Stegostoma tigrinum: one gene and its partner. The protein of the gene in region 1 purifies or fractionates together with the protein of each later gene. This does not show direct contact. Links are inferred from orthologs where the notes say so. Each region holds a gene or a part of one and is shown on either strand. Other genes may lie near its edges. The genes, in order: arrdc1b and hecw2b.

Region 1 (16,419 bases):
TGTACAAAGAGACCTCTCCTTTATTTATTTGGCCCTTTTAATTTGTATACACTTTGTATATATTTTAAGTATTACCTACTTTGTGATTTTATGTGTTTGCAACCAGTAAGTTTTATTTTGTTCATTCATGGCTAGGCCCGCATTTATTGCCCATCCCTAATTGCCCAGAGGGCAGTCGCCCACATTGCTGTAGATCTGGAGTCATGTGTAGGTCAGACCAGTTGGCAATTTCCTTCTCTAAAGGACATAAGTGCATAATGAGTAATTTATAGTAAAAATATTTCTGTAGTTGTGATATAGTAATGAGCAAACTTACAACTCTGTCTTTATGTTAAAGTGGCCTCATTCCAAATACTTACAGGCAGTCAGACAAAAAAAACACATCAAAGGAGGATGTCGAAAACAAACACATATTTTGGTTCTGGATGTAAGTTTGCTCGCTGAGCTGGAAGGTTAATTTTCAGACGTTTTGTCACCATTCGAGGTAACATCATCAGTGAGCCTCCGACATGTCACTGATGATGTTACCTAGAATGGTGGCGAAACGTCTGAAAACTAACCTTCCAGCTCAGCGAGCAAACTTACATCCAGAACCTCAACCTGAGCTACAAATCTTCTCAAAACTTGCTAACATATTTTGGTGTTTTAGGTGTTTGATTTCATGAGGCTTTTGTATCGATTAAGCAAAATCTGAGTTGATGACCTAGAAACATAGAAGATAGGGGCAGAAGGAGGCCATTCATACCTTCGAGCCTGCTCCACCAGTCAACATTATCATGGCTGATCATCCAACTCAACAGCCTAATTCTGCTTTCTCCTCATAACCTCTGATTCCATTCACCACAAGTGCCATATCTACCTGCCTCTTGAATACATTCAATGTTTTGGCATCAACTACTTCCTGTGGTAATAAATTCCACAGGCTTATCACTCTCTGGATGAAAAAAATGTCTCCTCATCTCTGTTCTAAATGGTCTACCCTGAATCCTCAGACTGTGACCACTGGTTCTGGACACAACCACCATTGGGAACATCCTCCCTGCATCTACCCTGTCCAGTCCTGTTAGAATTTTATTAGTCTTTGTGAGATACTCTCTTCATTCAGAACTCCAGCAAAAACAATCCTAACCTAATCAATCTTGCCTCATAAGTATCATTCTTGGGGAAATGACAGCATGACAAGAAATGACATTCCCTGTTTTGAAACAAATGGGCAAAGAAGATATCGTAAAATGTCTTTGTTATCTCAGTGGTAAGTTTTTAAATGAAACGAAATGATAGGTTAAGCTTTAATTTGATTTGATTGACTTATCGTTACATGTACCTAAGAACAGTGAAAAAGTTTTGTTTACAAGCAGTACAGACAGATCATAGTATGCAAGGACATACAGATCATAGGGTGAGAAAAAAAATACTAGACCAAAGCATACAAGTTACATTGCACAAGGTGTATGCTAGGCAAGAACAATGTTAGTAAGTTTGGCATTATTTGAAGTTAGAGAGTCCATTCATCAGTCTAATAATGGCAGGGAAGAAGCCATTCTTGAACCTGCTAGTGCACGTGTTCAAGCTTCTGTATCTTCTGCCTGACAGGAAAGGTTGTAGGAGAGCATTACCAGGGTGATATGAATCTTTGATGATGTTGGCAGCATTTTCATGGCAATGGGCTGTGTAAATGGAGTCCATGGATGGAAGGTTGGCTTCTGTGATGGTTTGAGTTGTGCACACAACCTTCTCTGACTCCATAGGGTCCTGGATAGAGCTGTTGCTGTACAAGACCATTATGTACCTGGGCAATATGCTTTCAATGGTGCATCCATAAAAGTTGGTGAAGGACATTGTGGACATGCCAAATTTCCTGAACCACCCGAAGATGCAGAGGCATTGTTGTACCTTCTTAACCTTCTCATCTACATGGGAAGTCCAGGACAGATTGTCAGTTATTGTTACTCCTAGGAACTTGATGCTCTCCACCCTCTCAACGTCAGCACTGTTGATGTAGCCGGGGGGTGGGGGGGGGGGCGCGTGGGGGGTGTTCTACTCCCTTCTTTCTGAAGCTTATGATCAGTTTGCAGACATTGAGAGAGAAGTTGTTCTCATTGCACAACATCTCCAAGCCTTTCTGTACTCTGAAATAAATAGGGAGATTCTCTCTGGTGGATGAAATCTAAACAAGCAATCAATGGATAATGGAAAGTATTGCAGTAGGCAATTGTTACTTTCAAAGAAGCCATTAAGAAATCACCTATATATCACCTGGCTCATCCAAGATTGACCATGCACTGTGCATGCATCACCTAGATAACTAAAAATCTAATCATGTAATACTGAGGCAGATTGAGGTTCAGAGACCTCCCTGATCATGCCATCGGTTGTGGCTTAGAAAGGGTTAACAAGTTCTACATTTCAAGTCCTACATGTGCGTGGAAAGGGAAAGGCAAAAGGTATAAAGGCAACTTGGACATCGGTATTCCAATGAGGAGAAGCTAAGTCCACTGTCAGGTTAAGTGTAAGTTCTGAAATAAAAACAGAAATTGCAGGAGAAACTCAGCAGGTCTGGCAGCCCCAGTAGACTGAAAAGTTTGTGGTCCTTCTACTGAATTGCAGAATACCATAAATGACTCGAATAAATGAATTTAAGTTGGCAACAAAAACAGAAGTTCAGTTCCTCAGTTCTGAAGAAGGGTCACTGAACCCAAAACGTTAACTCTGATTTCTCTCCACAGACCTGCTGAGCCTTTCCAGTAATTTATGTTTACCTTTCTGATTTCCAACATCTGCAGTTCTTTTAGTGTGAATTTAAGTCGATGATGAATTCACTCAGTACCCAGTCTTAGTCACTCACATTTGGTGTTCACTCGATCCCAGTAGAATCCCAAGTGTCCTGGTTTGGTTTTCTAGAAATGTGATTATACATTTGTTTGGTTGTCCTAGAATTATTTTGTTCAAAAGACCAGTTTGCGGGGTCCTTCCCTTTGGCAGAATCAGCAAGTTAGGACAATGCTGCATCCAGTAATCATCAGGTTATCATTTACAAATCGGCATATACAAGGACTGAGCTGACTGGTTTGTTTGCTGAACTATTCTTAGCTGAAAGTTGAATTATATCTAACAACAGGCAATTTAAAAGTTATCCATCAATAAAGCTGTTACAAAAATGTCTGGCGGTTTTAATCTTTCTCATACGTAACATGGGTGGCTGGCAGGAATTATACAAACAAATCCAGAAACAATAAATCATTTCCATTGTTCAAGCGGGGTGTGTTATCTCAAATTACTCACTGCTCGAGGTCATGTTTCAGTTCATAGGGAGTGGGAATTTGTTTGTTTCAGATCCAAATTTTGCATTGGACACAGGCAAAGTACTGACTAGTAAATTATAACTACAGTGTGTGACATTTAATTGATAGGGACTGGGCTACATTTAGTTGTTACAATATTGCCCCAATGACTAGTTGTGGAGTTAACCACTGAAAACTGGTGTAGGTCTGACGCAAATAGCCTCATGCAGTGTTGCAAATGATTAAGGAAATAAAGGCTGTGAAAAACAACCCAACAGCCCAACCACATCAGTCTGTATAGAGAATCTAAAGCATTTGCACGAAATGTACTCATTGAGAGAATTCAAAATTATTTTGTTCCTTCTCAGAAATGAAAAGAGTGTGCAGAAGAAATTCTGCTTGTCCAGCAGTGTCTGTGAAGTAAAGAAACGAAGTTAATGCTTCAGTTCCGAAATTACTCTCTGTTCTTAACTGAATGGTCTGGAAAATGGAGGCTATTATGCTGTTCATAAAGGGAAGTTCTGGGATGTCGTCATTGGTGAATGGATTAAATGGTGATGGTGCCCAGAACAAAACAGGAGTTCGTATAAGAGTTATACTTGACTTAGGGTCAGCGAATCATACAGCTGTACCTCATGGAAACAGACCCTTCAGTCCAAATCATTCATGCTGACTACTTATCCTAAATTAATTTAGTTCCATTTGCCAGTATTTGAAACATATCCCTCTAAACCCTTCCTACACATAAACCCGTCCAGATGTTTTTCAATTTCTCAACTCAAACTCGACTCATTAGCTTCTCCACAGGTGCTTCCAGACCAGCTGAGCTTCTCCAGCACTTTGTTTTTATTTCAGATGGCTAGCTTTCACAGTATTTTGCTTTTATTTGACATAGTGCTGACGATATTCAAGATGGAAAATAGAGGTTAGTGATCATTATGAGTGGCTGAAAATAGTATGGAGCTGGAGGAACACAGCAGGCCAGGCAGCATCAGAGGAGCCAGAAAGCTGAAGTTTTGGATCAGGACCCTTGAAGAAGGGTCCCAACCCGAAATGTCAGCTTTCCTGCTCCTCTGATGCTGCCTGGCCTGCCGCGCTCCTCCAGCTCTATGCTGTGTTATTTCAGACTCCAGCATTGGCAGTTCATGCTGTCTCTGGTTGAAAATAGTAGGTAGGTTTTGTTGAGGGCATGCCTCTGTAAACAAGACACTGGGGGTGCTGATGTCTTTAACATGGAGTATAGTGTTCATGCTCATAGAGTAATAGACTTTTTACAGTATGGAAAGAGGCATTTCAGCCCACTGTATCATCAACATCCAATTATTCTAATTCAATTTTCTAGCACTTAATTTGTTGCTTTATTTGCATTTCAAGTGTTCATTGAAATAGTTTTTAAGGTTTTGTGTGCTCCCTCTTATACCACCCAGTTAGGTAGTGAGTTCCAGAAACCTGCTGGCTGAAAAAATCTTTTCCTCAATCTCCTCTAAATCACCTGCTCTTTACATTAACACTGTGCCCACAGTTATTGAGCTATTTGAACTAAGAAGAAACATTTATTCCAAAATACCCTGTCTATGGACAACTTAACTGTGTGCACCTCGATCAGATACTCTGTGTTAGTCTTCTCTGCTTAAAGAAAACAACCCTACGAAGATACTACACACCCCAACACACTCATCGCGCTACCTTACATCAGGAACACATCTGAACTGACCACAAGACTCCTACGACCATTGGGCATAAGAGTAGCACACAAACCCACATCAACCCTATGACAACTGCTCACCAGAACCAAAGACCGACTACCCACTCTGGGGAGGACCAATGTCATATACAAAATTCCCTGCAGAGACTGTGACAAACACTACATTGGACAAACAGGAAGGAAATTAACAAGGGTACACGAACATCAGTTGGCTACAAAAAGACACGACCAATACTCGGTCATCTCTATCCATATAGATAAAGAACACCCCAATTCGACTGGGACAAGCAAAGCAGAGACAAGCACAGGAATTCCTAGAAGCCTGGTATTCCACCAGGAAAGCCATCAACAAACACATAGAGCTCAACCCCATATACACTCCACTGTGAAGGAAAACCGGAAGTGAGGTAATCCAGCTCAATGGACTCCAGAGGTTAAATAACAGGCAGGAAAACACAATAGCACTTCATCGGAGGCTGCACTGGTGTTGTTACCTAGCAGGGTAATGAAGCTTCTGCGGAACAACAAACCAGCTCAGCCAGCCAACCAGTCAAAACATCCCCAATCTGAGCTACAAATCTACTCCTACACCTTAAAAACAACCAGGCTGTCTAGATTCTTTTCATCTCTAAATCACCTCAGCTTAGACAACATCCTGGTGAATCTCCTCTTTACCCTTTTGAGGCTCTAAAGTTGTTGAACACAATGTTGTATCCAGAAGGTGAGACCATAAGAGAATAGGAACAGGAGCAGGTCATTTGGCCCATTCAGCCTGCTCTGCCATTCAATTGGATAGTGACTGATCTGAAAATCCTCACTTTCCTGTCCTTTTCCCTTACCCTGTGATTCGCTACTGATCAAGAATCCTATCTAAGCCTTAAAATATACAGATAGATTCTGGGCCCCACAACTCTGCGTGGCATGGAGCCCAAAGACGCTCAATCTTCTGAGAGATGAAATTCCTCCTCATCTTAGTCTTAAATTGATGCCCCTTTTATTCTGAGACTATGTCCTCTCACATAGGGAAAAACATCCTCTCAGCAGTTACCCTGTTACATCTTTTCAGAATTCTACACGTTTCACTAGGCACACCTCTCATTCTTCTGCACTCCAATGAGTATAGTACATAGAACATTGAACTGTACAGCACAGCACAGGCCCTTCAGCCCACAATATGGTGCTGAACTTTTGCCCTAGACCTAAGGTCTATCCAACCTCAACCCCTACCTTATACTATCATCCATATGCCTACCTAATAGCCGCTTAAATGCCCCTAATGAGGCCGACTCCACTACCCTCTCTAGAAATGCATTCCATGCCCCTACCACTCTATGAGTAAAGACCCTACCTCTGTTGTCTCCCCTCTATCTACCTCCACTAACTTTAAAACTATGTCTGCTCATAGTAGCTACCTCCACCGTAGACAGTCTCTGGCTGTCCATTCTATCTATACTTCTGATCATTTTGTCCACCTGTATCAAGTACCTCTCATCCTTCATCATTCTGAAGAGAAAAGCCCTAGCTCTCTCAACCTTTCCTCATATGGCCTTCCCTCCATTCCAGGCAACATCCTGGTAAAACTCCTCTGCACCTTTTCCAACACTTCCATATCTTTCCTGTAATGACGGAACCCCAGAACTGGACACAATATTCCAGATGTGTCCGAACCAGGGTTTTGTATAGTTGGAGCATAACTTCATGGCTCTTGAACTCAATCCCTCTATTATTGAAAGCTAACACACCATACACCTTCTTTACAACTCTATCCACCTGAGTGGCAGCTTTCAGGGAACTTTGGACATGAACTCCAAGATCCCTCCGCTCCTCCACACTGCCAAGAATCTTTTCATTAACCCTGTATTCGGCTTTCAAGTTTGTCCTTGCAAAATGAATCATGTCACACTTTTCAGGGTTAAGCTCCATCTGCCACTTTTCAGCCCAGCTCTGCATCCTATCAATGACCCTTTGTAACCTAGAACAGCCCTCCGGACTATCCACAACACGACCCAATTTTGTATCGTCCACGAACTTACTAATCCACCTTTCCACTCCTACATCCAAATCATTTACAAAAATCACAAATAGAAAGAGGACCCAGGACAAATCCTTCTAGTACACCACTCATAACTGTGCACCATGTTGATTATTTTCCGTCCACCAATTCTGAATCCAATCTGCCACATTTCCACCTATCCCATGTCTCCTTACTTTCTGCGTGAGTCTACCATGGGGAAAATTATCAAATGCCTTACTTAAATCCATGTATACCACATCCACTGCTCTACCTTTCTCCATGTGTTTGGTCACCTCTTCAAAGAATTTAATAAGGCTTGTGAGGCCTGATCTACCCCTCACAAATCCATGCCATTTGTGTCAATCAGATAATTCCCTGCTTTTACTGACAAAATATCAATGGGAAAGTGGGACAGTACTGTCAACCAGCTTGTAGCTGATGTCCATTTCAAGCCCACCGACTCCCACAGCTACCTAGAATACACCTCCTCCCACCCACCCTCCTGCAAAAATTCCATCCCCTATTCCCAATTCCTCCGCCTCCGCCGCATCTGCTCCCACGACGAGACATTCCACTCCCGCACATCCCAGATGTCCAAATTCTTCAAGGACCGCAACTTGCCCCCCACAGTGATCGAGAACGCCCTTGACCGCGTCTCCCGTATTTCCCGCAACACGTTTCTCACACCCCGCCCCTGCCACAACCGCACAAAGAGGATCCCCCTCGTTCTCACACACCACCCCACCAACCTCCGGATACAACGCATCATCCTCCGACACTTCCGCCATCTACAATCCGACCCCACCACCCAAGACATTTTTCCATCCCCACCCCTGTCTGCTTTCCGGAGAGACCACTCTCTCCGTGACTCCCTTGTTCGCTCCACACTGCCCTCCAACCCCACCACACCCGGCACCTTCCCCTGCAACCACAGGATATGCTAAACTTGCCCCCACACCTCCCCCCTCACCCCTATCCCAGGCCCCAAGATGACATTCCACATTAAGCAGAGGATCACCTGCACATCTGCCAATGTGGTATACTGCATCCACTGTACACAGTGTGGCTTCCTCTACATTGGGGAAACCAAGCGGAGGCTTGGAGACCGCTTTGCAGAACACCTCCGCTCAGGTCGCAACAAACTACTGCACCTCCCAGTCGCAAACCATTTCCACTCCCCCTCCCATTCTTTAGATGACATGTCCATCATGGGCCTCCTGCAGTGCCACAATGATGCCACCCAAAGGTTGCAGGAACAGCAACTCATATTCCGCCTGGGAACCCTGCAGCCTAATGGTATCAATATGGACTTCACCAGTTTCAAAATCTCCCCTTCCCCAACTGCATCCCTAAACCCGTCCAGTTCGTCCCCTCTCCCCACTGCACCACACAACCAGCCCAGTTCCTCCACTCCAACCACTGCATCCCAAAACCAGTCCAACCTGTCTCCGCCTCCCTAACCTGTTCTTCCTCTCACCCATCCCTTCCTCCCACCCCAAGCCGCACCCCCATCTACCTACTAACCTCATCCCATCTCCTTGACCTGTCCGTCTTCCCTGGACTGACCTATCCCCTCCCTACCTCCCCACCTATACTCTCTCCACCTATCTTCTTTTCTCTCCATCTTCGGTCCGCCTCCCCCTCTCTCCCTATTTATTCCAGAACCCTCACCACATCCCCCTCTCTGATGAAGGGTCTAGGCCCGAAATGTCAGCTTTTGTGCTCCTGAGATGCTGCTTGGCCTGCTGTGTTCACCCAGCCTCACATTTTGTTGTCTGGGACAGTACTGTGATGTCCCTTGCTCTATTGTCAGGAAAGAGGTGAATGTGTTTAATAAATTCACAATTATTTATACAATGAACAAACTTCCACTTGTACAACAGATCCAAATAATCCCCTGATGCTCATCTGTGACATGGACTGATATTCATTCTCAGAAACTAATTAAAACTTGCTGTCTTTACTGGTTAACTACAGTCCCACTCACAGTTGTGCTAGTCTGTATGAAAATACCGTGCTCACCCGTGGGGTAAATTTGTGTTCCTCTTACTAAAGAACAGAGGATGTTGGAAATCTAAAGCAAAAACAGAAACTGCTGGACAATCTCAGCGGGTCTGGCGAGAGAGAAAACAGTGTTCAGAAACAGACGCTGCTGGGCAATCTCAGCAGCTTTGGCAGCATCTGTGGAGAGAGAAAACAGAGTTAAAGTTTCGAGTGCAGTGACGCTTCGCCAGAAGAGCAGAATACAGTAGATTGTCGAGTGTTATCTGTTATTCACACGTTTGGCATGACTTGACACATTATTTGCTACACGTCAGGCATGTGGGCGGGGCTCCTTAGCGTGTGCACAGTGCGGTCGATGCGTGTCCCTGGAATGCAGCGGGACGGGCGTTTTGTTGACGTCGCGGATCGGGGCGGGTGCGGAGACGTGAGGGCGTCGCGTTCTACCTTTCCGGTTCAGTCCGGCGGTGGCTCGCGGCTTGGAGTATGGGGAAAGTTCAGGAGTTGAGCGTCGTCTTGAAGGACAACAAAGTGGTCTACAGCCCCGGCGAGTTCATCACCGGCGAAGTGAGAGTCAAGCTGGCTGCGCATCTCAACTTCAAAGGTCGGTCGGCCGGTCTGTCTGTATGTTCCCCCCCCCCTCCCCCCCACACCCTTCTCCCGTTAGCGGGTCGAGGAGTGAGGAGGGCTGGTTGAGGGGGCTACTGAAGTTCAGCCCCTGGAGGCGACGGTTGGGTCGGCGCGCTGAGCTGCTTCCGGGTCTGGCAGGCTCAGGGAAGTTGGAGGGACAGGAGTCCTCTGTGGAAGTGAGACCTTTACAGGTGGCAAGTGAGACAAGTTGGGAGGGAGCGAGCAAGAACGGCAAAGGCACTCAGTCTGCCGGCGAGCTAAAAAGACACCAAGCTTTGAAGCGTTCGTGTCCGATGAGGAATTTTAGAGTCCCGAATCTGGAGAAGTGCCCTGAGGGTTTTGTTTTATTTGTAGCGGTCAGACAAGATTGAAGAGAAGCCGTTAGGATTCCTTTTTGTCACCCATATTTGTGGTGGTTTAAAGCTTTTGGAAGGATTAAGAGGAATTAATAGTGTTATAATGTACTTCAGAGAGCAAGCTTTTGCATCATTTCAAATAACTAATCACCGCAGTCATTTCTGTCATAAACTGGGTAATGTTTGAATGTTTTATAAATGTTCTGAACTCTAATGGAAAATTGAAGCTGTATATTTAATATACCTAAAACCTAATGTACATTTTTATTTTGTTTTTTGACGCAGAATTGTATTGCTATCCAAAATATGAATGTCATGGGCTTGTCTAATGGCAATTAGTTACTGGAAACCAATAGCTAGCTTACTGGACATAACAAATGATGTAGGGTGGAGTTTAACAAACGGTTGAAAATGGGTTATCAGTAATCCAGCGCAGGGCTTTGATCAGATAAAGTGAGAAAAGTCTGATAGGTTTGACACTTGAGTCCATGATGTAATTGCTAACAGATGTCAAAATTTATTGATGTAATTGAAACCTGTATCTAGTTTTGAGTGAGTGTTCATGGGACGTGATGTAGAATTTCAGGCTTTTTAATTTTAAAAAAACTACATGGATTATTCGTTTTTGTATTTATTCATGTTGAGATTGGTTAAACATGGTAATTTGGACACAACTTAATGTTCCAGCTGTTTTATGTGCACCAGATAGTTTGGAGAAGTCATACATGCACTGTGCATTGAAAACTTTTTTTTTGTTTAGTAACTCGTATGTAAGAAGCATCTGGAGAAGTGATCATAGATGTACGGCATGGAAACAGACCCTTTTGTTCCAAATTGTCCAAGCTAACCAGATTTCCTTGATAAAACTAGTCCCATTTGGCCCATATCCTACTAAACCATTCCTCTTTTTTTCCCATTCAGATGCCTTCTAAATGTTGTAATTGTACCCCCCTTCACAACCCTCCTTTGGCAGCTCATTCCATACTTGCACCACCCTCTGCATGAAGATGTTACCCCTTGGGTCCCTTTTAAATCTTTTCCCTCCTCTCACCTTAAACCTGTGCCCTCTAGATTTTGACTCCTCCATCCCAGGGAAAAGTCTTTTTCTATTTTACCATATCCATGCCCCTCATGATTTTATAAAGTTCTATAAGGTTGCCCCTCAGCCTTTGATGCTCCTGGGAAAAGCCTATTCAGCCTCTCCCTATAGTTTAAACTTTCCAACCGTGGCAATATTGGTGAAAGGTAAATAGTCACTGGCTATAAAGCAAAAGGATAGGCAGTGTGAGTTAAGTTAATCAGTGCAGTGCTTCTTGAGATATTTGCAGATTTAGGAAGGGAGTTTAAAATGAGAGAGGTTCTTATTCTGCCATGCTGAGGTGAAGCTGATGGGATCCTGAAAGCCCTGTTGAGAAGTTTGGAACATTTTGGTTGAAGGCTGAGGGCTGGAAGGAATTGACTTAGTGAAGCATTATTATAAGTAACCTGATTAGAGACCAGACTCTCTTTCCCTGCATTGTTGCTGTGAAAAACTATTAGTAAAGCTAAGGAATAACCAAGTTTTTGCAAAGATTGCTTAAACACTCATTTGGTGCCCATTTACTTAATTAGTGAGCTTTGTATTCGCTCTTTACAGCCCATATACTGAGAGCAAATAACCTTATTTCTGCCTTATGCCTAGTTCCTAAGTCAACATTCACTGTGTGAATGACAACAGGCTCAGTTAGTTCTTAGTAAATCTGTGGCTTAACTACATCTTCATTCTGAGATCACTATCTTTCCCTAACAAAGTCTATCAGCTTTGGTTTTAAAAGTTTCAGTTAAGGTACTGTCAGATTTTTTGGGGTTGGAAAGAGAAGACTTCCTTTGCGTGAAGAAGTGCAGTATAGGATCACCCTGATTGTTTTATCCCTATGTTCCCTGACCCTATTGCATCTCTAAATCATCTGAAAGTCCTCATTCAGATTGTCCCATTATTATTCTTAATTTTGGCAAGCATAGATATATTCTATAAACTTGTATTCTAATTTAATCTGTGTATCTGTGTCCTTTTGAACTGTCTTGAATGTGGAACTCCAAACAGATTTAACCAAAGTTCCACATGTCTTGATATAAATTCCAGACCCTTTGGAATGAGGGCCAGCATTTCATTCATCTTTAAATTATTATTTGAAGTTGTCCACAAGCTTTTATTGATAGCTGTACTATGACTTCCTTAATTTCTCCACTCATTCACAGCTTCTACCTTCTTTCCATTTCGAAAATACTTTGATTTCTCTTTTTTTTTCAGGTCCTTTTGACATCAAACTCGATATGGTGCAGTTATATCCACTTACTTAACAGGGTCACTGGTCAGAGAATTATCTGTGCTATTCAGCCTGAGGACAATGGTGCACAACCACAACTTGCTTCTGTATCACATCCCTAATGTAAAGCAAAGTTCCATGGTGTTTCACAAACTAAAAGTGTGTGCAAAAGATCATTGCTGAACTACCAAAGGAAATTATAGGAAACGTGACCAAGGCTTGTGGATGAGAGTTTCAAGTAGGGAGGAGATGGTAAAGGGAGAAGACGGGTGAGTGAGGGTCCTTGTGATTCAAAGCACCACTCCAAGGGCCATGCACATAGAGGACAGATGCCAGAGTCAGAAATATAGACTTTGTAGGGTTCTGATTTAGTGAAGGCAATGTGGAATTCTCTCAGGGAAGATAAACTAGTAAACGAGTTCAGAACATGCTTTAAACTGGTGGCATTAAGTATATTTGTAGAGGCAGAAAAATGATTGTAATTTGGTGTGGACAGGATGGATAAGTGTTTCAGGTGAGCTGAAGATCATAGACCCCAACCTGAAGACTTGGTAGCAGTTAAGCCTTAAATTCAAAAAGATATGTTTGAATGCTTGAGTAGCACCTTGTCTATCTCCATCCCTGCCATAGCCAATGTTAGTGCTAAGAGTCAGCAGTCTGTAGTGAGAGGAATTGGGTTGGAACACAGTTTGACATTTAGCTGTAAACAGTCTGATTCTACCTAGGTACTGTGGCCAGATGAGTCATAGATTTGACAACAGCAAGATTATGATAAGAACAGGAGATATTGGCTTGGTCTTTGTATGTTTAAATGGGAGAAATTGATATAGTGGGATGTCAGATGTGAAATCTCCCAATGCAAAGATAATGGCGGAGTTAGGAGAAATATTAGAGCTAGGAGCAGCCAACACATATGACATTTGACCAGATTTCTGATCTTGACCAACAGCAAAGTGTTAGCAAAATAGATTGACCTAAGCATAAAGGTGTTTTGCAAGAACAGAAACCATGGTCGATTTTGACTATGATTGGACCACAAAGAATGGAACCAAGTAAATGTCATTCTACTGAGCTATAAAATGAATAGTTGATGTTTGAGGACAGAATTGTAGTTGATCAACCATTTTAAAGGCTGCAGAAAGATCGTCAATGCACCGTGGTTCAGAGGATGTCGTTTATGATGTGTTGAAAGCTATTTTGCTGTACGTGGAAACCTGATTAATGAAACATGAGCATGAGGTTTTGAGAAACCTGACTTGGGATGTAAAAACACATTCCTGATTTTATAAGGGATAAAGAATTAAACTGTGGTTTAAAGATCTGAAGAGGCCAGTACTTTTTTTGAGTAAATAATGACCTCAAAAGGGAGTGGGTGTGAAGTCATCTAAGGGATGAGAACCATTTATAGAATCAAATAGAGAAGATGGTTAGTAAGATAATCTCTGTAAGGCAATAACTGTCATAAGCAATAATAAAATCAAGAAAATAAACCTGGTTTCATAATTAAGATAAAAGACAAGAATAGCGCAGACTAACATCTCCCCTGTATGCTGCATTTATGAAAATATGGACAGGGCACAATGGTACAGGAAAACATTCAGATAGGTGGAGCTGGGAGAGCGAGGTGAAGTTCATAGGAATAATGGGAATCTAGTGGTAATAGGACACAGCATAGTTGAGGGTTAGATATGGTTCTTTGCATTGAGTGAGGGACAGCAGACTGTGCCTGTCTTGTGCTCGGTAGTGGGAGGGAAGCAATGAGTGGTTACAATTCACGCCTGTACCAGTGACATAGGTGTAGCTAAGAAAAAGGTTCTGCTAAGAGAATGAGAGCAACCGGGGTTAAATTAAAACAGCACTGCGGGGGTTTAGTTCTCTGTTATCTGAGGCGCAAGCAAGTTAGCTTAAGTTAAATAAAATGAGTGACATGAATACGAGCATCAAAAGATTCGTGCGAGCGGGATAGGTTTCAATTTCTGGAGCATTGATTCCAGCATTGAGGAAATCGTATCTGTATAGTTGGAACAATCCCTAATTCCCTAGAGAGAAGTTCAGAATCAGCCACATTGCTGTGGGTCTGGAGTCACGTAGGCCAGACCAGATTGCCAGCATTTGGCTCATATCCCCCGAAACACTTCCCATTCATATACCCTTCCAGATGCCTTTCAAATTTGTAATTGTACCTGCCTTCACCACCTCTTCTGGCAACTGGTTCTGTATGTGCTCCACCCTCTGCTTGAAAAAATTGCTCTTCAGGTCCTCTTAAGTCTTTCCTCACTCAACTTAAAGCTATGGCCTCTAGCTTTGGACTCCCCTACCCTAGGCTGTTCACCCTGTCACTCACACCATGCCCCTTATGATTTATATGAACCTCTATACGGTCACTTGTCAGGCTCCAATGCTCCAGGTTAAATAGCCCCAGCCTATTCAGCCTCTCCCTATAACAAAAATCCTCCAACCTGGCAACATCCTTGTAAATCTTTTCTGCAGCCTCAAGTTTAATAATATCCTTCCTATAGAAGGGTGACCAGAATTATACGCAGTATTCTAAAAGTAGCCTCACCAATTTTCTGTACAGATGCAACATAATGTCCCAACTCCTATACTCAGTGTCTGACCAATGAAGACAAATGTGCGAATCACCAGCCTTGTGTACCTGTCACTCCACTTTCAAGGAACTGTTCGATCTTTCTTCAGCAGTATTACCAGGGCCCTACCATTAACTGGTTAAGTCCTGTCCTGAGTTACCTTACCGAAATGCAACACCTCACATTTATCTAAATTAACCTCGTTCTGTGACTCCTTGGCAGTTGACCTATCTGATCCAGGTTCTGTTGTTCTGAGCTAATTTTTCACTGCCCACTACACCACCTGTTTAAGTGTAATCTGCAAACTTACTAACCATATCTCACATATATTCACATCCAGAAAATTTTATATACATGACAAAAAGCAGTCGACCCAGCACCAATCCTTGGGACACACTGCTGGTCACAGGCCTCCAGTCTGAAAAGCAATGCTCTACCAGTACCCTCTGTCTCTTACTGTCAAGCTAATTTTGCATCCAGTTGGCTAGCTCCCCTGATCTCATATGATCTCACCTTACTAACTGGTCAAACTTGCGAAACCTTGTCTCTTTGCTGAAGTCCATTAGACAGCGTCTACCAGTGTGCCTTCATTGGCTTTTTTGAAGAGGTGACTAAGGAGATTAATCAAGTTATGGTTTCCCACACACCCACAGTATGTTGACTATCCCTAATCAGTCCTTTTCCAAATGCATGTTAATCCTGTCCCTCAGAAGCCCCTCCAACAACTTATCCACCACTCATCTAACGTTCTCTGGCCTCTAGTTCCCTGGCTTTTCCTTACAGCCTTTCTTGAATAACGGCACCACATTATCCATCTTCCGGCCCTGCAATCTTTTTGCTAGCTTCCCTCAAGTCTGGGAAGCACCTGATCAGGTTCCGGAATTTATTTATCCTTGTGTGTTGTAAGACCTCTGGCACCACCTCTTCTGTAATATGAGCTGATTTCAAGACATTGCTATTTATTTCCCCAAGTTCCTGATCTTCCATGTTGTTCTCCACAGTAAATACTGACGCGAAATATTCAATTACTATCTAAACCATCTCCTGTGTGGTTCCGTACATTGACAGCCATGTTGATCTTTCGGGGCCGCCTTTAGCACTTAACATACTTGTAGAATCTCTTTGTATTCTTCTTAACTCTATTTGCCAAAGCTAGCTCATGTCACCTTTTTGCCTTCCTGATTTCTCTCAAGTATCCTTCTGTTGCCCTTGTACTCCTGTATTGAATCTCTCGATCCCAGCTGTCTGTAGTTGTCATGGCCGCGTGGCTAAGGTGTTGATTTAGTTGTCAGTTGGGGTTTGCCTATGCAGGTTCATGTGCTGCCGACTGTGTTTCCTCAACATGCGATTTTTGGGTGGCACAGTGGCTCAGTGGTTAGCACTGCTGCCTCACAGCACCAGGGAACTGGATTCAGTTCTACTGTCAGGCGACTGTCTGTGAGGAATTTGCACGTTCTTCATGTGTCTGCGTGGCCTTCCTCCTACAGTCCAAAAACGAGCAGGTTAGGGGTGGATTGGCCATGGTAAATGCAAGGTTA
Region 2 (16,547 bases), on another chromosome or scaffold:
ACCAGCACATGCAGATTGCGGAATTTTGCAATGTTTCTCCATTTAATTAACATACACTTTTTCTACCTGTCCTGCAAAAGTGGACATTTTCTCATTTTCCTACATTATAATTTATATGTTACTGTTTGAACAATCACTTAAGCTGTGTATATATCCCTTTGCAGACTCCTTACACCCTCTTCATAACTCACTTTCCGACCTATCTTTGTGCCATTAATAAACTAGTGACCGTACATCTGACTCCTTCATCCATGTAAATGTAAATAGTTGAGGAACTCCATTCGTTACATCCTGGCACTTTAAAATGACTCATTTGTCCCTACTCTCTGCTTCCTTGTAGTTTGCCAATCTTCTATGCATGCTGATATGTTGCACTGTACACCATGAACTCTTATTTTGTGTGCTGACCTTTTATGTGGCATCTTACCAAATGTCTTTTGGAAATCCAAGTCCATCATTATTACAGGTTCCCCATTATTCATGTTACTTATTCCTGTCTCAAAGAAGTCTAATCAGTTAGTCAAACATGGTTTCCATTTCACAAAATCATGTTGAATCTACCTGATTGCACTATGATTTTCTAAGTGCCATGCGATAACCTCCTTAGTAACAGATTCTAGTGACGCAGAACGTGGGAAATAAAGAAAACATCTTTGAAAATGTCCATTTTACAGAAGAGGAAGTGCTGGACATCCTAAAATGCATAAAGGTGGATAAAACCCCTGGACCTTACCAGGTGTATCTTAGAACTCTGTGGGAAGCAAGGGAAGTGTTTGCTGGGACCCTTGCTGAGATATTTGTATCATCGATAGCCACAGGTAAAGTGGTGGAAGACTGGAGGTCGTCTAATGTAGTGTCACTATTTAATAAAGGTGGTAATGAAAAGCCAGGGAGCTATAGATTGGTAAGCCTGACATTGACGATGAGCAGGTTATTGGAGGAAATCCTAAGGGACAGGATTTACATGTACTTGGAAAGGCAAGAACTGATTAAGGATAGTCAACACGGCTTTATGCATGGGAAATTGTGTTTCACTAACTTGGTTGAGTTTTTTGAAGAGTAATGATGAGGATTGTTGATGGCAGAGCAGTAGATGTGATCTATATAGACTTCAGTAAGATGTTCGACAAGGTCTGCATGGTAGACTGGTTAGCACGGTTCGATCACATAGAATACAGAGAGATCTAGCCATTTGGATACAGAACTAGCTTAAAGGTAGAAGACAGAGGGTGTTGGTGAAGAGTTGCTTTTCAGACCAGAGGCCTGTGACCAGTTGTGTGTCACAAGGATTGGTGCTGAGTCCACTGATTTTTGTCATTTATATAAATGATTTGGATGTGAACATAGGAGGTATGGTTAGATTAGATTACCTACAGTGTGGAAACAGGCCCTTCAGCCCAACAGGTCTGCACTGCCCCTTGAAGCGGCCCACCCAGACCCATCCCCCTATAACCCCCACACACACCACTGAACACTATGGGCAATTTTAGCATGGTCAATCCACCGAGCCTGCACATCTTTGGACTGTGGGAGGAAACTGGAGCACCCAGAGGGAACCCACGCAGACACGGGGAGAATGTGTAAACTCCACACAGACAGTCACCCAAGGCTAGAATTGAACCCGGGTCCCTGGCATTGTGAGGCTGCAGTGCTAACCACTGAGCCACCGTGCCGTCCCAAAGTATGTTAGTAAGTTTGCAGATGGTACCAAGATTGGAGGTGTAGTGGACGGCAAAAAAGTTTACCTTAGAGTACAATGGGATCTTGATCAGATCGACCAATGGGCCAAGGAGTGGCAAGATGGAGTTTAATTTAGATAAATGTGAGGTGCTGCACTTTGGAAAGGCAAATCAGGATAGGACTTATACACTTAATGATAAGGTCCTGGGAATGATCCTGAACAAAGAGACCTTGCTATGCAGGTTCATATTTCCTTGAAAGTGAAATCTTACGTGGGCAGGATAGGAAAGAAGGCATTTGGTATGTTTGCCTTTATTGGTCAGTGCATTGAGTTTTGGAGTTGGGAGGTCATTTTGCAGCTGTACAAGGCCTTAGTTCGGCCACTTTTTGAATACTGTGTGCAATTCTGGTCTCCCTACTATAGCAAGGATGTTGTGAAACTTCAAAGGGGTTAGAAAGAGTTTACAAGGATGTTGCCAAGGTTGGAGGGTTTGAGCTTTAGGGAGAGGCTGAATAGGCTGGGGCTATTTTCCCTGGAGCATTGGAGGTTGAGGGGATGACCTTATAGAGGTTTGTAAAATCATGAGAGGCATGGATAGGGTGAATAGCCAAGGTGTTTTTCCCCCACGGTGAGGGAGTCCAGAACTACAGGGCATATAATTAAGTTGAGAGGGGAAAAATTTAAAAGGGACCTAAGGGGCAACTTTTTCATGCAGAAGGTGGTGCCTGTATGGAATGCTAGAGGACGTGGTAGAGGATGGTACAATTACAACATTTAAAAGACATCTGGATGTGTGTCTGAATAGGAAGGATTTAGATTGAAATGGACCAAATGCTAGCAAATGGGACTTAGATTAATTTAGGAAACCTGGTCAGCAATGATGAGTTGGACCAAAGGGTCCGTTTTCTTGCTGTACAACTCTATGATTCTTTATCAATGATAGACTAATTGGCCTGTAATTTCCTGTTACCTGTCTTCCTCCTTTCATGAATATAGAGGTCATATTTGCTGTACACCAAAGTGATGGGACCTTTCTGGAATCCAGAGATATTTGGAAAATTACAAGCAATACATCTATTATAATAGCAAATACTGATCAGCTCCTTTCCCAGGAGACTATAATTGTTTTAGGTTCCTCCCCCATTTTTACCTCTTGATTTACAAGTAATTCTGGGATTTTTTTATGTCTTCTAAGGAGAAGATGGGCACACAATATATATTCAACACATCTGCCATTTCCTAATTTCTGTTATTAATTTGTCAAATCACTTGCTACTTGATTACTGGTCATTTTAGTTACTCTCTTTTATTTTAAATACCTGTAGAAACTCTTAGCTATTTTTCATATTTCTTGTTAACTTTCTCATGCCCTTTATTTTCTCCCAGTTTTTGGTCATATTTTCTTTTTAATTTGATAGTATCTTTAACCTCCTTTGTTAGGAAATGATGCATGCTTCTCAAGTCTTTCTCACAGGATTGTAGCGTTTGTGGATGTTATGAAACATCTCTTTAAATGGCTTTCACGCTTAACCTGATTTCTCAGTTCACTTTAGCAAACTTTGTTAGCAAACCTTTGTAATTGCCTTTAAGTTTGAAATCTTTAGTCTTTTTTCCACCCCTCTCTCCCTGAAAGTGAATGTAAAATTCTATTGTATCAGAGATAATGGGAACTGCAGATGCTGGAGAATCCAAGATAATAAAGTGTGAAGCTGGATGAACACAGCAGGCCAAGCAGCATCTCAGGAGCACAAAAGCTGACGTTTCAGGCCTAGACTCTTCATCAAAGAGGGGGATGGGGTGAGGGTTCTGGAATAAATAGGGAGAGAGAGGGAGGCGGACCGAAGATGGAGAGAAAAGAAGATCGGTGGAGAGGAGAGTATAGGTGGGGAGGTATGGAGGGGATAGGTCAGTCCAGGTAAGACGGACAGGTCAAGGAGGTGGGATGAGGTTAGTAGGTAGGAGATGGAGGTGCGGCTTGGGGTGGGAGGAAGGGATGGATGAGAGGAAGAACAGGTTAGGGAGGCAGAGACAGGCTGGGCTTGTTTTGGGATGCAGTGGGGGGAGGGGATGAGCTGGGCTGGTTGTGTGATGCAGTGGGGAAAGGGGAGATTTTGAAGCTGGTGAAGTCCACATTGATACCATTGGGCTGCAGGGTTCCCAAGCAGAATATGAGTTGCTGTTCCTGCAACCTTCGGGTGGCATCATTATGGCACTGCAGGAAGCATGATGGACATGTCATCTAAAGAATGGGAGGGGGAGTTGAAATGGTTCGCGACTGGGAGGTGCAGTTGTTTATTGCGAACCGAGCGGAGGTGTTCTGCAAAGCGGTCCCCAAGCGGAGGCTTCACACTTTATTATCCTGTAAAATTCTGTTGTGTTGTGATCATTGTTACCAAGCGGCTCTTTAGCTATGAGGTTATTAAGAAGCGTCATATCAAACTCAAAATGTTACCTCTTTCCGCCGCCACAGATGTTGCTGAGTTTCTCCAGCACTTTCTTTTTATTTCCTTCCATCATCCGTAGTACTTTGCTTTTATTAATTAATTCTGTCCTGTTGCATATTACGGGGTACAGAAAAGCCGGCTGTCTGGCTCCAGAATATGTTCCAAAATTGTCCCAAAACATGCTTACCTCATCTTCTAGATTACCTTTGATAATCTGATTTGTTCAATCAATATATAAAATAAAATAACCTACTATTACTGTCATAACAAACTCAGAAAATGCTGAAGAAACTCATCAACCTCTTTTGTCTGGCTGAGCTTGTTATCATTTTGAACAACTTCTCATTTAACTCATCTCATTTTCTCCAAATTAAAGTTGTGGCAATGAATACACACATGGGTCCCAGTCATGCCTGTCTCTTTGTGAGATACGTGCAACATTCTTTGCCTCAGTTTCAGACAACCCCACACTCAACTCTTTCTCTGGTACATTGATGATGCCTTCAGTGCTGCCTCCTGCTTTTCTCCAGAATTGGAAGAATTAATTAGTTTTGCTTTGTATTTCCATCGTTCTTTCACTTTCACCTGGTCCACTTTTGACTCTTCCCTTCCCTTCCTTGATTTCAATATTTACATTTCTGACGGAAAGCTTTCCACCAATATCCATTACAACTCGCCTGCAGTTACCTTGACTACACTTCCTCATACAATGCTGCCTGCATGGATTCCTTTCCATTCTCCCAGTTTCCCCAACTCCATTGCATACATTTTGATGATGCCATCTCCCACCAGGCTGCATCTGAAATGATTCCCTTTTTTCTCAATTGAGCATTCCCTCCATTGTGGTTGACAGGGCCTTGAACTGTGTCTGACCCATCTCCCATCATTCTGCTCTCATCCCTTCCCCTCTTCCCTGAACAATGATAGTGTTTTCCATGTCCTTACTTTCCAACTCACTAGTCTCCCCTGCTATTTTAGCCACCACCATACACATCTTCCTCTTCCATCCAATATCAGTATTTGCAGGGACTGTTCCTTCCATGACACCCTGGTCTGCCTTCCATCACTTCTAACACTTCCTCACTCCCCCATGGTACCTTGCCAAGCAATTGCACAAGGCATAATACTTACCCATTCACCTTCTCCCTGTACAAGGTCCCAAGTACACCTTCCAGATGAAGCAGTGTTTTATTTGTCCTTCTTTCAATCTAGTCTACAGTGTTCACAACCACAGTTCACTACAGCGCTCTCCTTTACCAAATGCAGACTGGGTGACTGTTTTGCAGAACACCTCCACTCTATCCATTGGGACTACCCTGACCTCTCCATTGCTGGCCTTTACAATAAACCACCTTGTTCTCATGCTAACATTTCTGTCCTGGGTTTGCTGCAATGTTTCAAATAAGCATAACATTAGCTTGAGGAACAACACCATTTTCACACTGAGGCACTTTGCAGGTCTCAGTATTGAACTTAATAACTGCTCACATTATGTCAGTTCTTCATTTTTCTTACATTATCTCCCCACCCCCTACCCCAACCCTCAGGCCTTCTCTGTGCCTTGTTCACTTTACATTTAGTTGAGAAGTCCAATTCTCTCTTGACACTTTAATTTCCACCCATTTTATATCTTTTTATTTTTCTCCACCATTAACAACCCCTTTGTCTTTTGCACTGAGTGAACTCCTCTGTCAAACGTATATATAAAAAAAGCATTTTCCAACACCTTTCAGTTCCAAAGAAATCATACGGTCTGGAAACACAATCTTTGTTTTTCACTCTGTAGATGCTGCCAGATCTGCTGAGTTTCTCCAGCAACCTCTGTGTTTGTTTTGGATTTCCAGCAACGCAGACATTTTGCTTTCTTCTGAATGATCACTGCTATGGCTTTCTCGTAAGTCCCTGATATTTCTTCCTGTTAGCGAGTTTTGAGAAGATTTGTAGCTCAGGTTGAGTTTCTGGATGTGAGTTTGCTCGCTGAGCTGGAAGTTAGTTTTCAGACGTTTCATCACCATTCTAGGTAACATCATCAGTGAGCCTCCGACGAAGCGCTGGTGTTATGTCCCGCTTTCTATTTATCTGGTTAGGTTTCCTGGGGTTGATTATGTCATTTCCTGTGTTGGTGATGTCATTTCCTGTTCCTTTTCTCAGGGGATGGTAGATTGGCTCCAAGTCAATGTGTTTGTTGTTGGAGTTCCGGTTGGAATGCCATGCTTCTAGGAATTCTCATGCGTGTCTCTGTTTGGCTTGTCCTAGGATGGATGTGTTGTCCCAATCAAAGTGGTGTCCTTCCTCATCTGTATGTAAGTATACGAGTGATAGTGGGTCATGTCGTTTTGTGGCTAGTTGATGTTCATGTTTCCTGGTGGCTAGCTTTCTACCTGTTTGTCCAATGTAGTGTATGTCACAGTTCTTGCAAGGTATTTTGTAGATGATGGTGATAATGGGAACTGCAGATGCTGGAGAATCCAAGATAATAAAGTGTGAAGCTGGATGAACACAGCAGGCCAAGCAGCATCTCACGAGCACAAAAGCTGACGTTTCGGGCCTAGACCCTTCATCAGGTCTCTGATGAAGGGTCTAGGACTGAAACGTCAGCTTTTGTGCTCCTGAGATGCTGCTTGGCCTGCTGTGTTCATCCAGCTTCACACTATTATTTTGTAGATGACATTCGTTTTGCTTGTGTCTGTAAAGAGTCTTCTAAGTTCATTAGCTGCTGTTTTAGTGTGTTGGTGGGTTTGTGGGCTACCCGGATGCCAAGTGGTCCGAGTAGTCTGGCAGTCATTTCCAAAATGTCTTTGATGTAGGGGAGAGTGGTTATGGTTTCTGAGCCCGTTTTGTCTGTTTGTTTGGGTTTGTTGCTGAGAAATCGGCGGACTGTGTTCTTTGGGTACCCGTTCTTTTTGAATACGCTGTATAGGTGTACTTCCTATATGCTCTACCCTCTATTGTCTCTTCTCTAAGGGTTGTGATTTGAAACTGTACTTCAGAATTTGTGTGTATAATTTAGACTGATGTTCTATAAATCATGATTCTGGTTTGTGTTCATACTCTAATGTACAACTATTTGAAGTGACCAGGGTCGCACATCTTCAAGCAAGATTGCTGGACACATTAACTGGTAATTTGTGTTATTCCAGTTTGTGAGGTCTTGCTATGTGGCATATTTTAAACATTATTTTATTTTGAAGAAACGCACTCACTTGTTGGTAAATGCTACAGTTATTTGGTACACGTGCCACAATAACCTAATTGTTCAAAGACTGGATGATGAAGAAAAGTTGGACGAGGGACTATGGAATTCACATACTGTGAATGCTGGAGAAACTCAGCAGGCCTGGTAGCTCCCGTGAAGAAAGAAACGGAGTTCACGTTTCGAGTCCAGTATGATTCTTCTTCAGAACCAACAGAATTCTGTATTCGCCTCCTTCAAATACTGTCATTGTATCTCGACAGAGCTTCAGTTTCATATTCCAGCTGCAGGTTAGCGCTACCTACGAGTGGAGGTGCCGGTGTTGGACTAGGGTAGAGAGAATCATAGCTAACATGGTAATAGTCCAACAGGTTTACTTGAAATCGCAAGCCTTTGGAATCACTTCACCTAATGAAAGAGCAGCACTTCGAAAACTTGTGATTTCAAATAAACCTACCGGACTAGAGCCTGATGCTGTGTGACATCTTGAACTCGTGCACTATTATCTTAGCGCAGGAGGTGGCAGAACAATTAAGGTAGCACAAGCTGATACAAGTCTTCCTTTGAAATGAACGTCATGATACTGTATTTTGTAAGCTTCAACTTTATAATACATATAATCCATGGAGATAAGTAGGTCTGCCTACCCAGTAATTTATCTGTCTCCCCAGTGAGTTAGAACTTTAGCACTGATTTATATTTAGGGATGATTGTAAATATATATTGACTGCGGCCCTTGGTAGCACCCTCCAATTTTCCTGTTCCTTCTTGTGTTAAGGTATTTGGCCTTCATGTGATCACTCCCAGTTATACTAGGCCATGGGAATTTAATAAAGGGGTGGAAATGCTCTCCACTGTGCCAGGGTTGCGTGTGTTTGTTGCTTATTCTGTTCTACCTCTGTCTTCCCTTTACTGTTCAAACTATTCTCGTAGGGCACCTGTTCGACTTTCTGGTAAACGGGCTGCTCTCTGATGAACGGTCTAGGCCCGAAACGTCAGCTTTTGTGCTCCTGAAATGCTGCTTGGCCTGCTGTGTTCATCCAGCCTCACATTTTATTATCTTGGATTCTCCAGCATCTGCAGTTCCCATTATCTCTGCTGCAATTTATGTTGGTCACTGGCTGGATTAACTTCACAGCTGCACATTTTACAGTGAGGGAAATGGATGGCCAACTCTACAGAAAGGACTGAGAGCCGATTAAGGAAAACCCAGTAATTTGGTGCCCTAATCCCTTGTGGGCACTATCCTTGCAATCTTCACCCTGCATAAAACACAGGCGACGGTGCTACTCACCAGCCCTTCGATCTGGTCTGATCTGAATGGCGATGCGTCTTTTCTGGAAACCTGAAACAAGATAAAGCTGCGGGATCATACTGTAAATCTCCACCTGCTGCATCACGGTTATTTCTCTTCCCTTCACACCCCCCACCCCATCCCCTCGGAAAAGATGGGAAGAGCCCCCTCCCCTGCATTTCCAGTCACAGAGGGGCTCTAGCCGCGTCTGAAAGCCCCTTCTATCCGTGCACTGAAGCTTGCCGACCCTTTGACAGCCGCTGGAGTGTGGTCTTGGCGAAGTGGGAGGAGCCCTCCCGCCCCCTGTGTGAATGACACACAGGAATCCCGCCCAAACCTGGACCCCGGCTGCTTGAATGTAGGGAGAAGGGAAAGAGAGAGAGACAGGAGGCCGAGAGCAACTCGGCTGGGCTGCAGAGAGACCGCGGCGGCGTCTGCTTGGGGATGAGGAGCCGGCCGTGACCCGACGTCGGGAGAAGGAGGTGGGAACAGCGGCGAGGCAAACATGCTGCAGCAGAAAACAGGCGGCGGGCATGGGGGGGACGATTCCCGAACACCTCCAGCGGAAGATCTGCATCGCTTGCAATAACGACGAGCCCGGGATGTATATATTTCTCCCTCGATTTTAGAGCAAAGAAAAAGGAAGGAGGGAGGGAGGGAGTGTGTGTGTGCGGACAAAGTAAGACCAGTTGGGAGCATTAGAATTAGAAACCCAGTCTGAAGGCTGCGGGAAGAGGGACTGAAGCCTGTTAGCAGCCGCATTGAGTGCTGCTGGAGACGGAAAGACTTCCTGCGTCTTCCTGAGATTGCTGGGCTGCTCGGGATGACAGGATTGAGTACATCTTTCTCCCTGAGGTAAGTAATCGCTCCATTCCAACTCCATCCCTCACTCCCGGTCTGTCGGTGAATCTGATGCAGGATCTGAGGCCGGAGTTTCCTCCTCTCCTGGTCCTGGGGGAAGTCTCTCTGGGATAGTCCCCGGGCCTGGGATCGGCGACGGGAGAGAAACTTGCAACAGATCGCCGTCCCTAACCAGAGCGGCCGGCATTCTGCAATTATCAATAAGATACATATATATAAAAATAATATTTAATGACGTGTTTTTGAATCAGTTCTGATGTGAAAGGGTTTTTGTCCAGGTATTTTTGTGGATCCCATCTGTATCACTCCTCCCTCCAGTGGTATTCGGGTGGTGCTCACCTGTTTTTTTCCGAAAAGATGTTTTTATTTTGGCTCGCCTGTGTTAGCCCACCTTCGTGGCCCCGCCTCGTCCCCGGAGCGGGGTTTGGTTGTGTCTAGGGAGGTGGGGAGCCTTTGGTTGTGTCCAGACAATGCGACATTGGTTTGGAGCTATCCCCCCTCCGTCCCCACCCCCTCCGGCAGCGACTCCTCCGTCACATCACCTCACAGCTGTTTACACAGACCGCCGCGTTATCGCGCTGCTGGCCGGGCTTCGGGGAGGTGGCGGAAAGGACGAAGTGGGGTTGTCGCGCCGCTGGGGAGGTAAAACAGTCTCCCGTCGAGTTGGTAAATAATCCACCGGCTTCACTCGCCTTCAGGGACTCTCTCTCCACTCGCCCTCATTGGGCGCCTCGGGCAGACCAGTGCCTAAACGCAATAATAACATCTTTCTGATATAGTGGTGGAGGTTTCCCCTTGGGGTGTGTTGCTTCATCTGGCGTGTAAATAGTCAATCGTCCCGTCTCCACGAACTTTGACAGGGTTGATCACACCATCCAGTGACAGGGTTTTCTTGCAGCAGCACCCGCCACCGTCCTTACGCCTGGCAGTAAAATCACCTGCAATGCTTTCTCTTTCCTTGCACTGCAACCTCTGGTGCTTTCGTAGAAGTAATCTTTTATCTCCTGTTTCTACGACATTCTGTACCTTGACGACATTACACACCAGTCTTTGCTTCCATTGACAGCAACACTCGGCTCTATCAGTTTTCTCAAATACTGTTGCAGTATTAGATTGCCTGTTCAACATTGAGAGCTGGATGGGCGGAAATTTCCTTCCATTAACTATGAAACCACCTCTTGCTTGGAACTCTGTTCCCTAGCTACCAATTCCATCTCTAGCCTGACAACTATTCAGGGCTGAAGCAGACTGATCAGAAATACTTGATTTTGGCAGGAGGTCCCAACCCACATACCTGCACCCTCCCCAATTCTTACTTCTAATGCTGCCCAACTCCATCTCTGCCTCGGCTAATCTCTTGCCAAACATTTTATCACCACATTCTGGAATGCCTCAACTCGGCGAATGCTGAAACCCTCATCCATGCCTCTGTTATCTCTACTCTTGACTACTAATTCTTGGCAAGCTTCCCACATTCTACCCTCTGTAAACTCAAAGTCATTCAAATCTATGCTGTCTGTTTCCTATCAAATTTCTTTCACTGATCATTCCTTTGATTGCTGTTTCTGCTTAAGCAGCACCTCATATTTTAGAATTCTTCTTAGCCTTGTTTTCAAATCTCTCCATGACTTCGACTTTCACTGTCTAATTTCTTCTCACTCTGGGATAGCTGAACTCATGGCCTGTTGAGCATCCCCAATTTTAATTGTTTCAAAGTTGGGGAACATACCATGCTTCAAACATAACATCTGGAATTCCCGATCTAAAACCCTGCGACACACCTTAGAACTTACCTCTTTGATAATCACTCCTAATGTCTCAATCACTAATGACTCAGTCACCCCATGACTCAGTGTCAAATTTGAGCCAGTGGTTAGCACTGCTGCCTCACAATACCGGTGACTTAGGTTTGATTCCAGCCGCGGGCAACTGTGTGGAGGTTGCATGTTATCCCTATGTCTGCGTGAGTTTCTGCTGGATGCTCTGGTTTCCTCCCATAGTCAACAGATGTGCAAGTTAGGTGGCCTGGCTATACTAAAATCCCCGATTGTGACAAGGGATGGGCTGGCGAGATGGATTAACAATGGGGGATGCTGTATCTGGTTGGGATGCTGTTCAGACAGTCGGCTCAGACTCGATGGGCAAATAGCCTCTGTCTGCGCAGTAGGGATTCTATGAAATTTTTGCTTTAGTGAAGAATTTTAGGACATTTTACTATATTAAAGGTACTACGTAAATGCAAGTTTAGTTTGATTGGACCATTAGTTTGTTATGTTAGCAGTGCACTTAAGTGGGCTCTTGTGGTGCTGTAAAGTGAAAGAAAAACAGAATGTGCTGCAACTACTTAACTGGTCAAGCAGCTTTTGTGGACAGTGATGTGACCCTGTTAAGTTTAAAAGATTTAGATTCCCAGTGATGGTCTGAAAGGAATTGCACAAAATATAATATTTCAAAACTCTTACTGGAACAAACAAACTAAAATCAACATTGATCAAATATTATTTAGGCAACCAATACTCTGAACTGCAGACAAACCACCCTTTATGTCCATTTTAATATACTGAAAAATTCCTTGCCAGAGTTATACTTGCAGCATCCTCTCCATAGAATCTTAATTCTTTTGTACAGGAAATGTAAGAATAGGTGTAGGTCATTCAGCCGCTGAGTCTGTGCTGCCTTTTAAAATGACTGATCGAACATCAGTGTCTTTTACCCATGTTATCCCCAAACCATCTGTGCCATTCAGAATCAAAAAAATGACCAACTTCTACTTTAATGATACTCAAAGTCTCAGCTTCCACAGCCCTCTGGGGCGGATTAATCACCCTCATTAATGGAATATTGTCCTTACCTTGGCCCTAAATGGCATCACTTATTATTATTTTGTGCTCCCTGGTTCAAGACTCCCTCTTACTTGCATCTACCCTGTCAATTCCTTTGAGTATTTTGTAGGATTTCAGTAAGATCTGTTACTCTTTGAAACTCTAGAGAAGACCAGTCCAGTTTGCCCAATCTCTTGTCACAGGACAAACCTGCCATCCTGGAAGCAGGTCTGATGAATCTTTGTGGCACTCCATCTATGGCATAGATAAAGGAGACCGAAGTTGGACGCAGTGCTCCAGGTGTGATCTAACCAAGCTCCTATATAATTGAAGCAAGACTTTACTATTCCTGGACTGAAATCCTCTTGAGATGAAGGCTCATCTTCCATTTGGCTTCTTAACAGCTTGCTGCACCTGCATCTTAGCCTTCAGTGATTTAGTTAGAAAGACACCCTTCACACATCTATACCTCCAACTCTCTTACCATTCGACAAGTAGCCTGCACAACTGTTCTTCTGTCCAAAACCTCTCCTCCTCCTTAAGGACAGGGTTGTGCTTAGCTGTGATGTAATGTACAGTTGATCCTGTCTCTTGTTGTCATCAATTTTACTTAATCATCATAAGACAGCAAAAGTAAGTTTCTGCATGACAGGTCTGAACAAGAAAATTATGTATGCAGTGGAGTGAGAATACTGCACAACATAAAACATGAAAATGGTTAAACAAAGCCTTCAGTAAAGGCAATACTCTGGATAAGAAATGCTCTGATTTAAACATTTGTTAAAAGCTCATAATGTTGAAATCTACAAAACAAAATATTTCAAATCCCTAGAAAATTAATTTACATTCTTCTGGCATTTGCAAACTGCCATTGCTCGAAAAGTTAGTTACCTGGTGGCAATATTATTCATTGGTACAATTCAAATTAATTGTTTTGGCTGACAATAATAGACTTGACATCGACATTCTGTTTTAATATCACTGACCTTACATGATGCATTAGTTGACCGTCAACTTGCTTGGCAATTGCCAGTTCTGTTCAGATCTAGAAATTGGCTGGCATTCCTTTTGTTATTGATTTAAAGCACAGAGATATGCTTGACATAACTCAGTGAGTGCAGTATGTTCTTCACATTGATGGTCAAAACTGAACATTGCAAAGCAGTATTCTCATCTTTTTAATGCTGTGTTCTTCTCAAAGGGATGACTATATTTTTTAACTACTAGCCTTAACTGTTCATTCTTTGGGTTTTAATATTGTGATTTCTTTTCTACAGAAGGAGTGGGATGAAAAATACATATTCTCCATCACATTTAGCAGTATATTTTTCATTAGTAGACTTAAAGAGTATGTAAACTGTAATTCCATTGTGAAGTATTTTGCCTCCGAATCACAAGGATTGGGCGAGCGATGGCCTAGTGGTGTTATTGCTGGACTATTAATCCAGAGACCCAGGTAATGTTCTGGGGAGCTGGGTTCAAATCCCACCACAGGCAGATGGTGGAATTTAAATTCAATAAAAATATATGGACTTAAGAATCTAATGATAACCTTGATGTCAATTGTTGAAAAAACCCATCTGGTTCACTAATGTTCTTTAGGGAAGGAAACTGCCATCCTTACCTGGTCAGGCCTACATGTGATTTCAGACCCACAGCAATGTAGTTAACTGTCAACTGACCTTTGGGCATTTAGGGATGGGCAAAAAATGCTGCGTGCCCAGTGACACCCTCATCCCGTGAATGAATTTTTAAAAAAATTAGGTTTATGTCCAACATGAGGTCTTGACAATCTAAAATATCCTGTGGCACAATATCAAAGAAGAGCAGAGGAGTTATCTCAGGTGGCTTGTTCTATATTTATCAATGATTTCTTAAACACATGGATAAAATGTGTATACACACACAGGTGTCCCTACACCATAAACTGAAAGAGAACTGTCCATTTATTCTCTCCTGCCAGCATTGATTGACAATGAATATTGTCATATAGAGTTTAATGGTTCTAAATCAAATTGATCTGAGGTTAGTAAATTTGCGGATTACACCAAAATTAGTGGTATAGTCAACAGTGAAGAAGGCAATCTAAGATTAGAAAGGGATCTTGATCAATTGAGCCAGTGGACTGAGGAGTGGCAAATGGAATTTAATTTGGATATTGCGAGCTAATGTATTTTGGTAAAACGAACAAGAGCAGGACTTATACTGTTTATGGTAAGGCCTTGGGTAGTGTTATTGAACAGAGAAGCTGAAGGGTTCAGGTACGTAGCTCTTTGAGAGTTGTGTCACAGGTGGACAGAATGGTTGTGAAGGCATTTAGCACACTGGCCTTCCTTGTTCAGACCATTGAGTGTAGGAGTTGGGATATTGTGATGAGGTTGTACAGGACATAGGTGAGGCCACTTTTGGAGCACTGTGTACAGCTCTGGTCGCTTTGCTATAGGAAGGATATTATTAAATTGAAGAGCGTTCAGAAAAGATTTACCAGCATGTTGCTGGGACTAGAAGGTTTGAGTTATAAGGAAAGGCTTGGTAGCCTGGGGCTTATTTCACTGCAGCTTAGGAAGTTGAGGGCTGACTTTGTAGATGTTTACAAAATCATTAGAAGTCTGATTAAGATGAATAGCACAGATCTTTTCCCTCAGGTGGGCGAGTTCCAAAGTAGGGGGCATATTTTTAAGATGAGAGGAGAAGGATTTAAAAAGGACCTGAGGGGCAACTTTTTTGCACAAAGGGTGGTTCGTACATGGAATGAACTGCCAGAGGAAGTGGTAGATGCTTGTAGTTAGAACATTTAAAAGACATTTGGATAGGCACATGAATAGGAAAGATTTGGAAGGATATGGGCCAAATGAGGGAAATGGGACTAGTTTGGTTCAGAAAGCTTGGTTGGCATGGACGAGTTGGACCGAAGGGTCAGTTTCTGTGCTATATGACGTTGAGATGGTCTTGTGACCAAGTCATACATGCAAAAGCTAAAACTGTACTTTGTGATACAACTATCCAGGCTTCATTGTGGAAAATTTTCTAGCCCTGATATTTGTAAAGAGTTCAATTTTCTGTATAATCTGACATAATATATTTCTCAATACAGTCAATGGCCAGATTGTTTTTCAGAAGAATGTTAGAATTTGTTTCACAAGCTATGACTGTGAATCAGAAGACATTAAATGAAAAAAGGAGCATGTATGCTGGAAATCAGAAACAAAAACAGAAATTGCTGGAAAAATGCAGGCCATGTGATGACAAGGTCTGTGATAATGGGAACTGCAGATGCTGGAGGATCCAAGATAATAAAATGTGAGGCTGGATGAACACAGCAGGCCCAGCAACATATCAGGAGCACAAAAGCTGACATTTCGGGCCTAGACCCTTCATCAGAGATGGGGATGGGGTGAGGGTTCTGGAATAAATAGGGAGAGAGGGGGAGGCGGACCGAAGATGGAGAGAAAAGAAGATAGGTGGAGAGGAGAGTATAGGTGGGGAGGTAGGGAGGGGATAGGTCAGTCCAGGGAAGACGGACCGGTCAAGGAGGTGGGATGAGGTTAGTAGGTAGGAGATGGAGGTGCGGCTTGGGGTGGGAGGAAGGGATGGGTGAGAGGAAGAACAGGTTAGGGAGGCAGAGACAGGTTGGACTGGTTTTGGGATGCAGTGGGTGGAGGGGAAGAGCTGGGCTGGTAGTGTGGTGCAGTGGGGGGAGGGGACGAACTGGGCTGGTTTTGGGATGTGGTGGGGGAAGGGGAGATTTTGAAGCTGGTGAAGTCCACATTGATACCATTGGGCTGCAGGGTTCCCAAGCGGAATATGAGTTGCTGTTCCTGCAACCTTCGGGTGGCATCATTGTGGCACTGCAGGAGGCCCATGGTCTAGTGTGTTAGGATTGGGGTAAGAGCATGAGTGAAAAAAGAAATTCTGTTCAAGAATCCTTGGGAACCTTGTGGCCTTCGGGATCCAGTATTGAATTCAGTAATCTTAGGGCTTGGAGCACCTTCTCCTGTGTCCTTAACCCAACCGCATACACCAGACCTTGTCATCACATGGTTTGCTACCATGTCCACCACTTGAGGACCCGAGGCAGACCTTTATCTTTGTCTGCTAAACTGTCTGTTTTTTTTTCTTTCTTTCTCTCCAGGTTCCATCTCCACCAAGTCCTTTATGCCTTACTGCCTCTCCCCACTCCATCTTCAGCATGTATACCAATATTTTCCTAGCTAGAATCAGTTCTGAAGGAAGGTCACTGGACCTTTCTTAT

What was found.
Region 2: the proteins of arrdc1b (region 1) and hecw2b purify together in Homo sapiens (affinity purification with mass spectrometry; 3 studies listed by BioGRID and IntAct, counting the BioPlex papers as one, with this or other methods). This does not show direct contact. The link is inferred for Stegostoma tigrinum from reciprocal best matches to the Homo sapiens genes ARRDC1 and HECW2.

The regions. Positions count from the first base shown.
Region 1 is NC_081382.1:18,480,083-18,496,501, reverse strand, and holds the start of arrdc1b (arrestin domain-containing protein 1b), read left to right. Parts: upstream 1-9,414; 5' UTR 9,415-9,487; coding exon 9,488-9,605; intron 9,606-16,419. UniProt on the Homo sapiens protein: Functions as an adapter recruiting ubiquitin-protein ligases to their specific substrates. Through an ubiquitination-dependent mechanism plays for instance a role in the incorporation of SLC11A2 into extracellular vesicles.
Region 2 is NC_081360.1:32,268,905-32,285,451, forward strand, and holds the start of hecw2b (E3 ubiquitin-protein ligase HECW2), read left to right. Parts: upstream 1-8,877; 5' UTR 8,878-9,467; exon of another isoform or gene 9,468-9,661; intron 9,662-9,812; exon of another isoform or gene 9,813-10,693; intron 10,694-16,547. UniProt on the Homo sapiens protein: E3 ubiquitin-protein ligase that mediates ubiquitination of TP73. Acts to stabilize TP73 and enhance activation of transcription by TP73. Involved in the regulation of mitotic metaphase/anaphase transition.